3 linked regions of the Tribolium castaneum genome follow. The main gene of each other region encodes a partner of the protein of the gene in region 2 in a complex. Links are inferred from orthologs where the notes say so. Each region holds a gene or a part of one and is shown on either strand. Other genes may lie near its edges. The genes, in order: SmD1, Bx42 and Tango4.

Evidence for each region.
Region 1: Bx42 (region 2) and SmD1 share a complex: the UniProt entries of both Homo sapiens proteins name them as parts of the minor spliceosome. The link is inferred for Tribolium castaneum from reciprocal best matches to the Homo sapiens genes SNW1 and SNRPD1.
Region 3: Bx42 (region 2) and Tango4 share a complex: the UniProt entries of both Homo sapiens proteins name them as parts of the minor spliceosome. The link is inferred for Tribolium castaneum from reciprocal best matches to the Homo sapiens genes SNW1 and PLRG1.

The regions. Positions count from the first base shown.
Region 1 is NC_087394.1:7,020,236-7,022,481, forward strand, and holds SmD1 (probable small nuclear ribonucleoprotein Sm D1), read right to left. Parts: upstream 1,353-2,246; 5' UTR 1,212-1,352; coding exon 1,198-1,211; intron 1,095-1,197; coding exon 743-1,094; 3' UTR 622-742; downstream 1-621. UniProt on the Homo sapiens protein: Plays a role in pre-mRNA splicing as a core component of the spliceosomal U1, U2, U4 and U5 small nuclear ribonucleoproteins (snRNPs), the building blocks of the spliceosome.
Region 2 is NC_087397.1:9,848,746-9,852,433, forward strand, and holds Bx42 (puff-specific protein Bx42), read right to left. Parts: upstream 2,716-3,688; 5' UTR 2,408-2,715; coding exon 2,394-2,407; intron 2,342-2,393; coding exon 2,178-2,341; intron 2,035-2,177; coding exon 611-2,034; 3' UTR 563-610; downstream 1-562. Other genes in the region: ATP-binding cassette sub-family F member 1, read left to right, coding at 1-133, 402-552. UniProt on the Homo sapiens protein: Involved in pre-mRNA splicing as component of the spliceosome. As a component of the minor spliceosome, involved in the splicing of U12-type introns in pre-mRNAs.
Region 3 is NC_087397.1:4,268,860-4,272,283, forward strand, and holds Tango4 (pleiotropic regulator 1), read right to left. Parts: upstream 2,363-3,424; 5' UTR 2,250-2,362; intron 2,199-2,249; 5' UTR 2,167-2,198; coding exon 2,051-2,166; intron 1,999-2,050; coding exon 1,641-1,998; intron 1,594-1,640; coding exon 1,094-1,593; intron 1,047-1,093; coding exon 845-1,046; intron 794-844; coding exon 602-793; 3' UTR 543-601; downstream 1-542. Other genes in the region: Tbcb (tubulin-folding cofactor B), read left to right, coding at 1-146, 194-311; uncharacterized protein LOC656577, read right to left, coding at 2,745-3,424. UniProt on the Homo sapiens protein: Involved in pre-mRNA splicing as component of the spliceosome. Component of the PRP19-CDC5L complex that forms an integral part of the spliceosome and is required for activating pre-mRNA splicing.

The sequences.
Region 1 (2,246 bases), on a different chromosome or scaffold from region 2:
GTTATGCAGGCTTGTAATGTTGGTTGCATACTCGATGGCAAGCAATTTCTATATTTATTTTGATTTTGAGAAAATATTTCTTATCTCAAATCTGAATGAGTGATAATGTTTTAGCTTTAACTTTTTGTATTGAAAGTAAGAGAATGTTCCTAAATTTGTAAAATAATTATTAATATAAAAAAAATTGAGGTTAAATAAAGTGATAGTCCATCTGTTTCTGTATTGATAGTCAGTGTTTAAGACCACCCGAAAAATGGGGCTATCTTTAGGAGAATGTTCCGTCATGAAGGAGGTAATCAGTAAAACGTTAATTTTACCAAACTCATTTAACCATTTGTAGATAACAAAAACAGAAGAAGCAATCAAAGCCTGTTACGTGAGGGTCCAACTTTTAGAAAAAAAGATCGAATCTGATGAAATCCCCAACGAGAAAAAAGCCGACATGAAGAAAGAGTTACGAGAAGTTCGCAAACTTTTAACCACAAACGAAAACCAACTTTCACAACTCCACAGACACAATCGAAAATCATTCGCATTTGTAGCCGCCTTCTGTTTTGTTTGTTTCACAGTTTACGTTTTATACATTTTAGTACAAGGTCCCGATTTTTAATAACAAAGACATTTTAAACCTAAATATGTTTTATTGATGAATTTAGCAGAATTATAAAAGTTTTACAAATACTGGAACTAAACGAAAAGATTCACACTTACAATTACGAAACTTAATTTAATGAACGTATTCTTATCTACGCCCTCTCCCTCTGCCCCTGCCTCGGGGGCCCCCTCTGCCACGGCCCCTCCCGCGGCCTCTGGCAGCCCCCCGGGCGCTCTCCTTCTTCTTGGCCTTGGCTTTGGGGGTGTCGTCAATCAGCAGAGTCTCGAGGGGTAAACTATCGGGCAAAATGTAGTAACGAATGTTGTTTCCTCTAACTGTTAGGGTGTCTAAGTTCACAGGATTTCGGTTCTTTACAGTCACTTTTACAGCTTTTAAGTGCGTATTCATGGCCACATCTACACCGGTTATAGTGCCATGGACTTGTGTGCCGTTTTTCAGCTCCATTGTGACCGTTTCATGGCTCAGTTTCATTAAAAACCTGAAAATGGCCGAAATGTTAGGTTAGGTGGTTTTTCAGGAGTTTTACTTGGAATTCAAGGAAATAAAAACGTGTCTGATCAATCAGTAGTTTACGTTCTCACCTTACTAATTTCATGTTGATATTTTTGGTGTAATTAAGACAATTTTTATATTATGCCGGCAAAACACGCTTGGCTTACGTTTTTTTACCCCCCCTCTTCCATAGAGGGAAAGAGAATGAGCATATAAGAAAGAGATGGCAAGAAAACTTGCGAAGGGAGCGCCACTTACGTGGCGCCAATTTTAAATCGTTATTTTTTTTATAGGTTTGCAGATAATTATGGACTCTGAAAATAAAAACAATTCTTTATTATTTACTATTATCACAGCTATTATCAAAATAACCTTGCTATTGGCACGTAGTAACAATGAAATATTTTGCTTTATACAGTCGAACTTCGATCACCCGAATAGGCCGTTGCCACTTCAAATCATCTTTGTAGAATACAGTGGAATAATACTTTTGTTGAGTTCAAGTGATTCCTGTTATTATAATATGAGCAATTTTTTTAACTAATCCAACAAAGTGTTTACCTTAAAAATCTCAACTCTCTCTAGTGCATCTAGTGTTCTTGTTCTTAATTTTTATTAGTTGCGTGTTTTTAGTTAATTAATTAATTAAACAAAAATTCGTGTTATAAAAATTTTTCGAATTCAAAATTTGAAATTGAACAAAATAATTGGTGGAGTCGGTTTATCCCCGTTCGGGTGACAGGGGTTCCACTGTATGAATACATTTTGCGGAGAAAAATTTAAGATTAGGTCGATTATATAAATTATATGTTAATAAGAAGTTAGAAAATACTTATCTGAAAAGTTAAAAAAAGTAATTTTTGACTTGTTTTCGCCTAAATTATAACTATAACATGAGAAAGATACGTTTTTAGTTTGACAGTTTTTGAGTGAGGCTTCAAAATTGCTGAAATTATGTGGACACGATTATAATGGGCAAAATTAGATTATAGGATAAGAGGGTTAACCTACAGAAATTTGGGCATAATTATTCACTGTACATAATAACCCCACTCTCCCCTACCTAAAGTATTTGAAAAACACTTGTTACTGATTAATTTATGTTATTTATTACAATATTAGAATAGATAACACAAAA
Region 2 (3,688 bases):
ACGCACCGGATGTTCTCATTTTGGATGAACCGACGAATAATTTAGATATTGAATCGATTGATGCACTAGCTGAGGCCATTAACGACTTCAGTGGAGGGGTTATTATAGTGAGCCACGACGAACGACTTATACGGTAAGAGCAAATAAATGTACTCTTTCTTTTCTTTTTTCGCCTCCCTTTATAGAAATTTTATATTTTTCGTCCTAATTTCAGGCTGCGAAGTATGCGTTTACCAGCACTATTAGAAGTGAATTTAATTTTTAATTTGCATTAGCTACTTAATTTGTTCGTTAATTTAAATTAAGATGAAATTCCATCGAGTTTTTGTAACAATTTCGGCTCGACCATAAAACTCAATTTTATTGTTTTGTGTAAAAAAAAATTACTAATTTTGTTACAGTGAAACTGATTGCGCCTTGTACGTAATAGAAGACCAGACCATAAACGAATTAGACGGCGACTTCGACGACTACCGCAAAGAGCTCTTGGAGAGTCTGGGTGAAGTCATCAACAGCCCAAGTATTGCAGCAAACGCTGCCATTGCTCAATAATACAACAAAAAATTTCTACAATTGTATTTATTTAAAAAACCCAAATACAATCAATATTTTAATCTCTTCTCTTTCGCTTATCCCTCTCATCCCTCCTCTCCGGTTCCTTGCGTTTGCTCGCCCGTTTAGCCTGACTCAAGAACTGATCTAACCCGAACGGATCTTCCTCTTTCTCAAATTGTACAGGTCCAGACCTTGGCGCATTCCGATCAGTTCCACTAAACTCCTTATCCGGAACAAATCGGTTCGTTTTGACGATTTTCTCCAAATCTTCACCGTATACCTCCTTATCCACATTCCTACTAGGTCTGTACAAGTGATTGGCCATTGAGCCCCCCTCCCTCCACGGCTTATCATAAACATTATACGCGTCATCGTCCCCATATCCATGCCCCAAACCTTGAGCCTGTCCGAATAATCTCTGATCAAACTGCACCTCGTTTGAGGAGACTCCTCTGGCAGGCATCCCCAAAGCAATCTGCTCGGAAATATCTCGCTCTCGCTCCCTCTTCAACTTTGAACGCTTATCGGGAGCAGCCCTTGCCAAGTTTCTCTCTCTTGCTCGCTCCTTATGCCGGTCCTGTCTCAGCATTTCTCTCTCACGTTCCTCCTCATCTGTGATTTTAGCATCAGCGACTTTGATCCCAGCACGTTCATCTCGAGCTTTTTGAGCCAACTGTCTCAAATGCTCCTCCTTTTGTTCCTTTTCCTTCTGAGCTAGTTTTTTCTCGAGTTGGGCGCGTGTTTCCACAGCCTCTCGTGCTTTTCTATCGGCAATATATAGAGCCTCAGCCAACTTTGCGAAATTCTCGTTGATGTGCAACTGTTGCAACCCCCGACCATCTGCAGCTAAACGCTTATCTAACGGAACTGTGTAACCCTTTGCATTTTTCCAATTTGAAATACAGGGCGGGATTTTCCACTCCTTTTGCTCCTTAACAGTGACACGACGTGTGGGGCTGTGCAAAACGGGCGCTGGGGGCGAAGGGGGCCCCCTTGGGATCTTCTTATTGATCTTGAAACGTGGGGGCTCCATTGGATCAACTTGTGCTTCGACCAAACGAATGACGCGCTGTTTGGCACCCGAGTTGAAGGCGGCCCCTTGTTGTGAAGGGGTGTAACGAATAAATTCAGCGGGGCCTTGTTTTTCGGCACATCTGACTGGCATTGCAGCTGCGATTTTTGAATTTGTTAGGCGTTGTAATGCTTGACGGGTTTTTTCTGTGATATCTTCGATTTCCTCCTGAGATGGTTTAGCAAGACTTGGGTCATTTTCTGTGGTTACTTCAACTGGTAACAAATCGGAGAGTTTTGAATAGACGATTTTGTCTTTGCCGTGGCCTTGACGTGCGATTACGTCGTATTTGACTTTGCCTTCTGCGTCCAATTGGACGGCCAAGGCGTTTGAAGTTGATTCTTTGCCCTTTCGCCCCATGTCAAGAGGGTACTGGGCCACGTGGATTTCGGGAAATGCGCCTCCATCTATAAATTGCAATAAAATCAGTGATAGTGAAAACTTTTCGACGTCCTTGACTGATTATTTGTAATAAAATTTAATAGGACCAATCAAAAAAGTTGGTCCCATCGTAGTTAAATTTAATTACAAAAAATCGGTGGCTAATTACCTCCATAGTCGGTGTGGACTCGTGGGACCCAACCCCTTCTTTGTCCATACGGTGGGGCAATGCTTTGGGCTGTTACAACAGATGTGGAACGTTGAGTTGTGGCATTCTGTTGCCGTCTCTCGTCGTCCCGATCCCATACGGGTTGTATGGGGGCGGGCAATAAACTACAAAATAAATGCGTCTTACTCTACAAGCCCAAAAGTGAGGTTAGGTTACCTGGATAATTCCATTTCTTTTCCTAAATCAGCAAAAACTTGACAATAGCGTAAAATATTCACACTGCACTCATTAATGTAAGTTTTTATTGTTTTACTTCACTAGTAAATCGGAAAATATGTAAAAATCGATTGCACAACAGTGGCTTTCGGGAAAACAATTTCCGCAAAATCTTGATATTATATTATCGCTGTGCGATATTCAAAGCAATTTGTACTTAAAAAACGCAACTAAGTAATGGATTATTGTGTGTAATTCTGTTTTATAAATACACCCAAATTAACGCCACTACTAAAACGTCAAATAGACGGAATGATTTGTAGAGGGCGCGGTTGAGCATAGATTGTTTGTTCCGAAGTTCTATAAGTTCGAAAATACAGACTGATCCAGAAATACTGAGTCTGTTGGCAACACATTTGAAAGTGTTTGTGCTTGTAATTTGTAACATTGCAACCGAATTCGATTTTTCTTGACAACTATTTGACGTACAACCCCACAAGAATGTTAAATTGTTGTTAACTGGAAGCGTATTCCATTAGTATCCTTAAAAATTTAAGTCCAGTGTCGCCAACAGACTCAGTATTTCTGGATCAGTCTGTATTTTTAACGTGAGGGTATCCCCAAAAAAAAAGATGCACAACCACTCACAGACTTTTAGCTACTAGTTACTTCAACAAGCAGACCCTTTACTTACGTAGAATAAACAAAAAACAATAAATTTTTTAATATTTTTCCAAAAATTTAGAAAAACATTCATGTATCGTGCGGTTGCCATTGATAATTGGCAATAATTGGTGGTGTTTGTGAACTTCTAATTTTGAAAATGTACTTCTCCAACATATAAATAAGTGCCTTAGAGCACTAAAGTGAAATTTGAATTTTGGAACTAACACCATAACACACTGTAATTTTTAACCGCTGTAGAACTGTGTCTAGCACTAAATTGAACTAAAAACACTAAAACATATTCAACCGAAGGCTGTTTACTATTGAAATTCGCGCTTTTTTGGTGTTGGTACTTCTGTTACACTGTTACGTTGGTAGTGCTGCAATATCGGCGCGCCTTTTAGCACCTGTCATGTTTTGTAGTTTAGCATTATTTTTGTTTAACGCTGTTTTAGTGTTTAGTTTGTGTATTAGTAAGGATTTATGGTGTTAGTGGGTTTGTTTCTCGTTATTTAAAGACAATCTTATTCAGAGGAGGAACATTTGCAGGAATATTTCCACCCTTCTTTGGTAAGTGCACATTTTAGTTGAGTATTAATTATAGCTTTAATTTAAACATTTTGACGCTT
Region 3 (3,424 bases), about 5.6 Mb from region 2:
ACGCCAATTGGTTCAAGATGCAAAGTTACTGTAGCCAATGCTCCCTGCAGACTTGGCACTGTGATGTACACAGGGCCTGTTGAGACCTTACCTGGATATTGGATAGGGGTCAAGTATGACGAACCTTTGGGCAAAAACGATGGAACGTAAGTTACGACCATCAGTTGAAAAAAAATTCTAGCTTTTGTTGCAGATTTAAAGGCAAGAAATATTTTGAATGTGCTAATAATTATGGCGCCTTTGTTAAGCCACACAACGTTGAATGTGGCGACTTCCCTGAGGAAGATTACGACTTGAACGAGGAAATATGATTGGTAACAAGCATTCCAAATTCGCAAACGAATTAATTTATTGTTTTTATCAAATTAAAAATTATTTATCGTAGAGCATTTTAACCTTTACCCTCACGATTTTACATCTAGAAAATCGTAAGTTTTGTGCACTTCTGCGATTATTAATGGTCTAGAAATGTCAAATGGTTTGATTAATTTTCGGAAAATTTGATAAATAATGCAAAGTTGGGTAAAATTAAAACTTTTTAGTAGCTCATAAAATTTTATTTATTATTTTTATAAAAATACAAATTATTTTAATCATAGAATTAGAATTTCCTCCGTTTCAAAATATCGGGTTTCCAGTTAATCGGATGCGTTTCTTCAGTCGCAGTTTCATCCTCTTTGTAGATTTTGATGGTCTTGTCAGCTTCAGTTGTGATTAATCTTGAGCCAGAATTGTCGAAAATCATTGAGAATATTCCAGCTTCACTGTCCATTGACCCAGGTTGTACTGGGGCCTAAAAATGTAACATTAATCGATTGACTTCCTTCAAAGTTACAAAAATTACTTGTAATCTTTGGAAATTGTAACCGGTCCTCCAATCCCAGAAATGTAAAGTTCCATTATCGCCCCCTGAAACCAGGACGCCTTCTGGATTGACAGCGAGACAATTAACAATAGCATTATGACCGGACAAATTCTGTATGAATTTCCCGTCAGGACATTTCCACTGTTTTATGTTATCGGGTGAGCCCGACGCGAACATGTTCCTACAAATAATAAAATAATTACAAAAAAAATAATTAAACAATCGTACAAAGTCGGGTGGAGAATCACATCTCTAACGCTCTTTTTGTGATTGGTAAGCGTACAAATTGATTTCCCAGCTGCCAGGTCCCATAATCTGATTGTGGTATCATGAGATCCTGTGATAACTTGAGGTTCGGAGGCTTGCGCCACCACGCTAGCTACAGTATGCGTGTGGCCGGTCAAAGTGTGAACATTTGCTTTCGTCCTCATGTCCCAAACCCGGGCTGTTGAATCACGCCCTGCTGTTAATAAAACATCGATTGTGGGGTGAAGCGCTAGAGAGTATACAGCCGATAAATGGCCATGGTAATGTCTAATGACTTTGTTGTACTCCAAATCCCAACACTTGACCTGTCTGTCTTCACCGCAACTGAACAAATAAGGGTGTCTACTGCTCACAGCCAACCCTCTGACCGTGCTCACATGCCCAGTTAGGGACACTTTCAACTGCCCACTTGCCAGGTCCCAGATTTTTATTATTCGGTCCGCTGCGCCGGTCGCAAACCACTAACAAAAAAACGGTAACAAATTTGCTGCCAACAAAAATTTTATACCTCATTTCCTGGCTCCACCGAAACACACCTGACCCACCCCAAATGCCCCGCAATCACCCTGTATAGCTTCCAAGGGGCGTGCCATTTCGGCTTTGGCATTGTGGGGACTTTTTTCATTAAATTGGCGAGCTGGTTTTGTGTGTTATTTTGGACGCTTCGTGTCATCAAACTTGTGTCAGTGTACGGTACAACAGCCCCCTCGGTGTTTGGGGCCGCGTCGTCAGTGCGTGTGCCCGGTGGTGGGGGGTTTGGCCCAGCTTCTGCCTCCCGTAAGTGCTTCATAGCTTGCATTTTCTTAACGTCGTCAAAGACTAGGCCGTACAAGTCACGGGCTTTTATGGCTTTTCGCACCATTTCGCTATTTAATTCGTAATATTAAGGGCTGCTTGTTTTTGTGGTTTGTTACTCACGCTTTTTCGTCCACTGATGGCAGTAGTCCCTGGTTTGAGAGAAACATGTCGTGAGACCGTTTCAAGGAACGGAATACTAACGTATGTACGGAGTGTCTCTGCACGTCTTCGGTCATTGTGAAGACGAGTATTTAACTCCGGATATTTACTGAATTGTAATACTAGTAATTAATCTTCGGGTAAATAAACAAAATCGTACTTAACCTCTCTGCAAAAAATCACCAAATCCACCATTTGGTAACTTTTGGTTCGTAGAATAGACAGGAAAAGAAACTACTATTGACTCAACCGTGGAGGGAGTTTGAGTTTTTTTTTTTTTTAACCAAAAAATAGTTAATTTCCATACCAAATTGAATTGAATTTCTTATTTGGGTAGTTTTGGTCACAAAATAAAAGCACGCCAATTTTTTTAACATTTGTATTTTTCAACAATTATAAAAATAGATACGAGTTGTTTCACTTATAAATATTTCGTTATTAAGTCTACAATAAAATACATAGTTTTTTGACCACAAAACGCATCTAGTTTTTATCTGTACAAGTCCCAATGTCAACATTCCTGAGCCCAGATAAAAGCAATATTACACAAATTATTTACATTGTGAGTCGACTACAATAAAGTAGCTTTGCCTAGTGCCCCACTTTGCAGCGATGTGATTAAAAATGCAAACAGAATTATATAATGCAAAGAAACTTAATCCAACGGAGTGATCTTGACTGAAGATCCGCGAGATTTGCGATACCTTTGAAAGTCTCCTGCCTGGTAAGGTAATGCCCTCATATTACTTCTATAATATGGTACATCATACGGAGATATGTGTAATTGATTGATTGGTGGTGACCGATTTCGCCACAAAACCGCCAATAAAGAATAAAATCCACAAATGGTATTCGAAATTAAAGTCATAAAGTTGACAATAATTGGGGTGCAAACCCTGATAAGTCCTTGCGTTTCACGCAAAAGTTTCAGGAGATAGTCTAGAAGGTACTTGATGGTGTGTATCAAGAAAGTGATCAGTGTTGATAACAAAAGAACCATAAATATGGTGGCTTGTTTAATGTTGGGCCAAGTCAAGGTTTCAGTAAACAAGTTCCTCAACTGATCCTTGAAAAACTCCTGAAATTTTGCACCCAATTCACCCAAATTCTTCTGAGAAACGTCTTCAAAAATCTGAGTGGGAGTTATATTATGAACTGGAGTCTTCTCTCTGACTGGCCTCACAACTTCAAGCTTGACTCTAACTTCATTGTGGAAGAATTCAACGTTTTTGATTTTGTACCAAAAACTCCCAAAAACCTCTTCGTCCAGACTCACCCACAAATTGTAACCTGCCGGGGCCCCGATTGTTTTCGGCTCCGTGATACCAATCCACA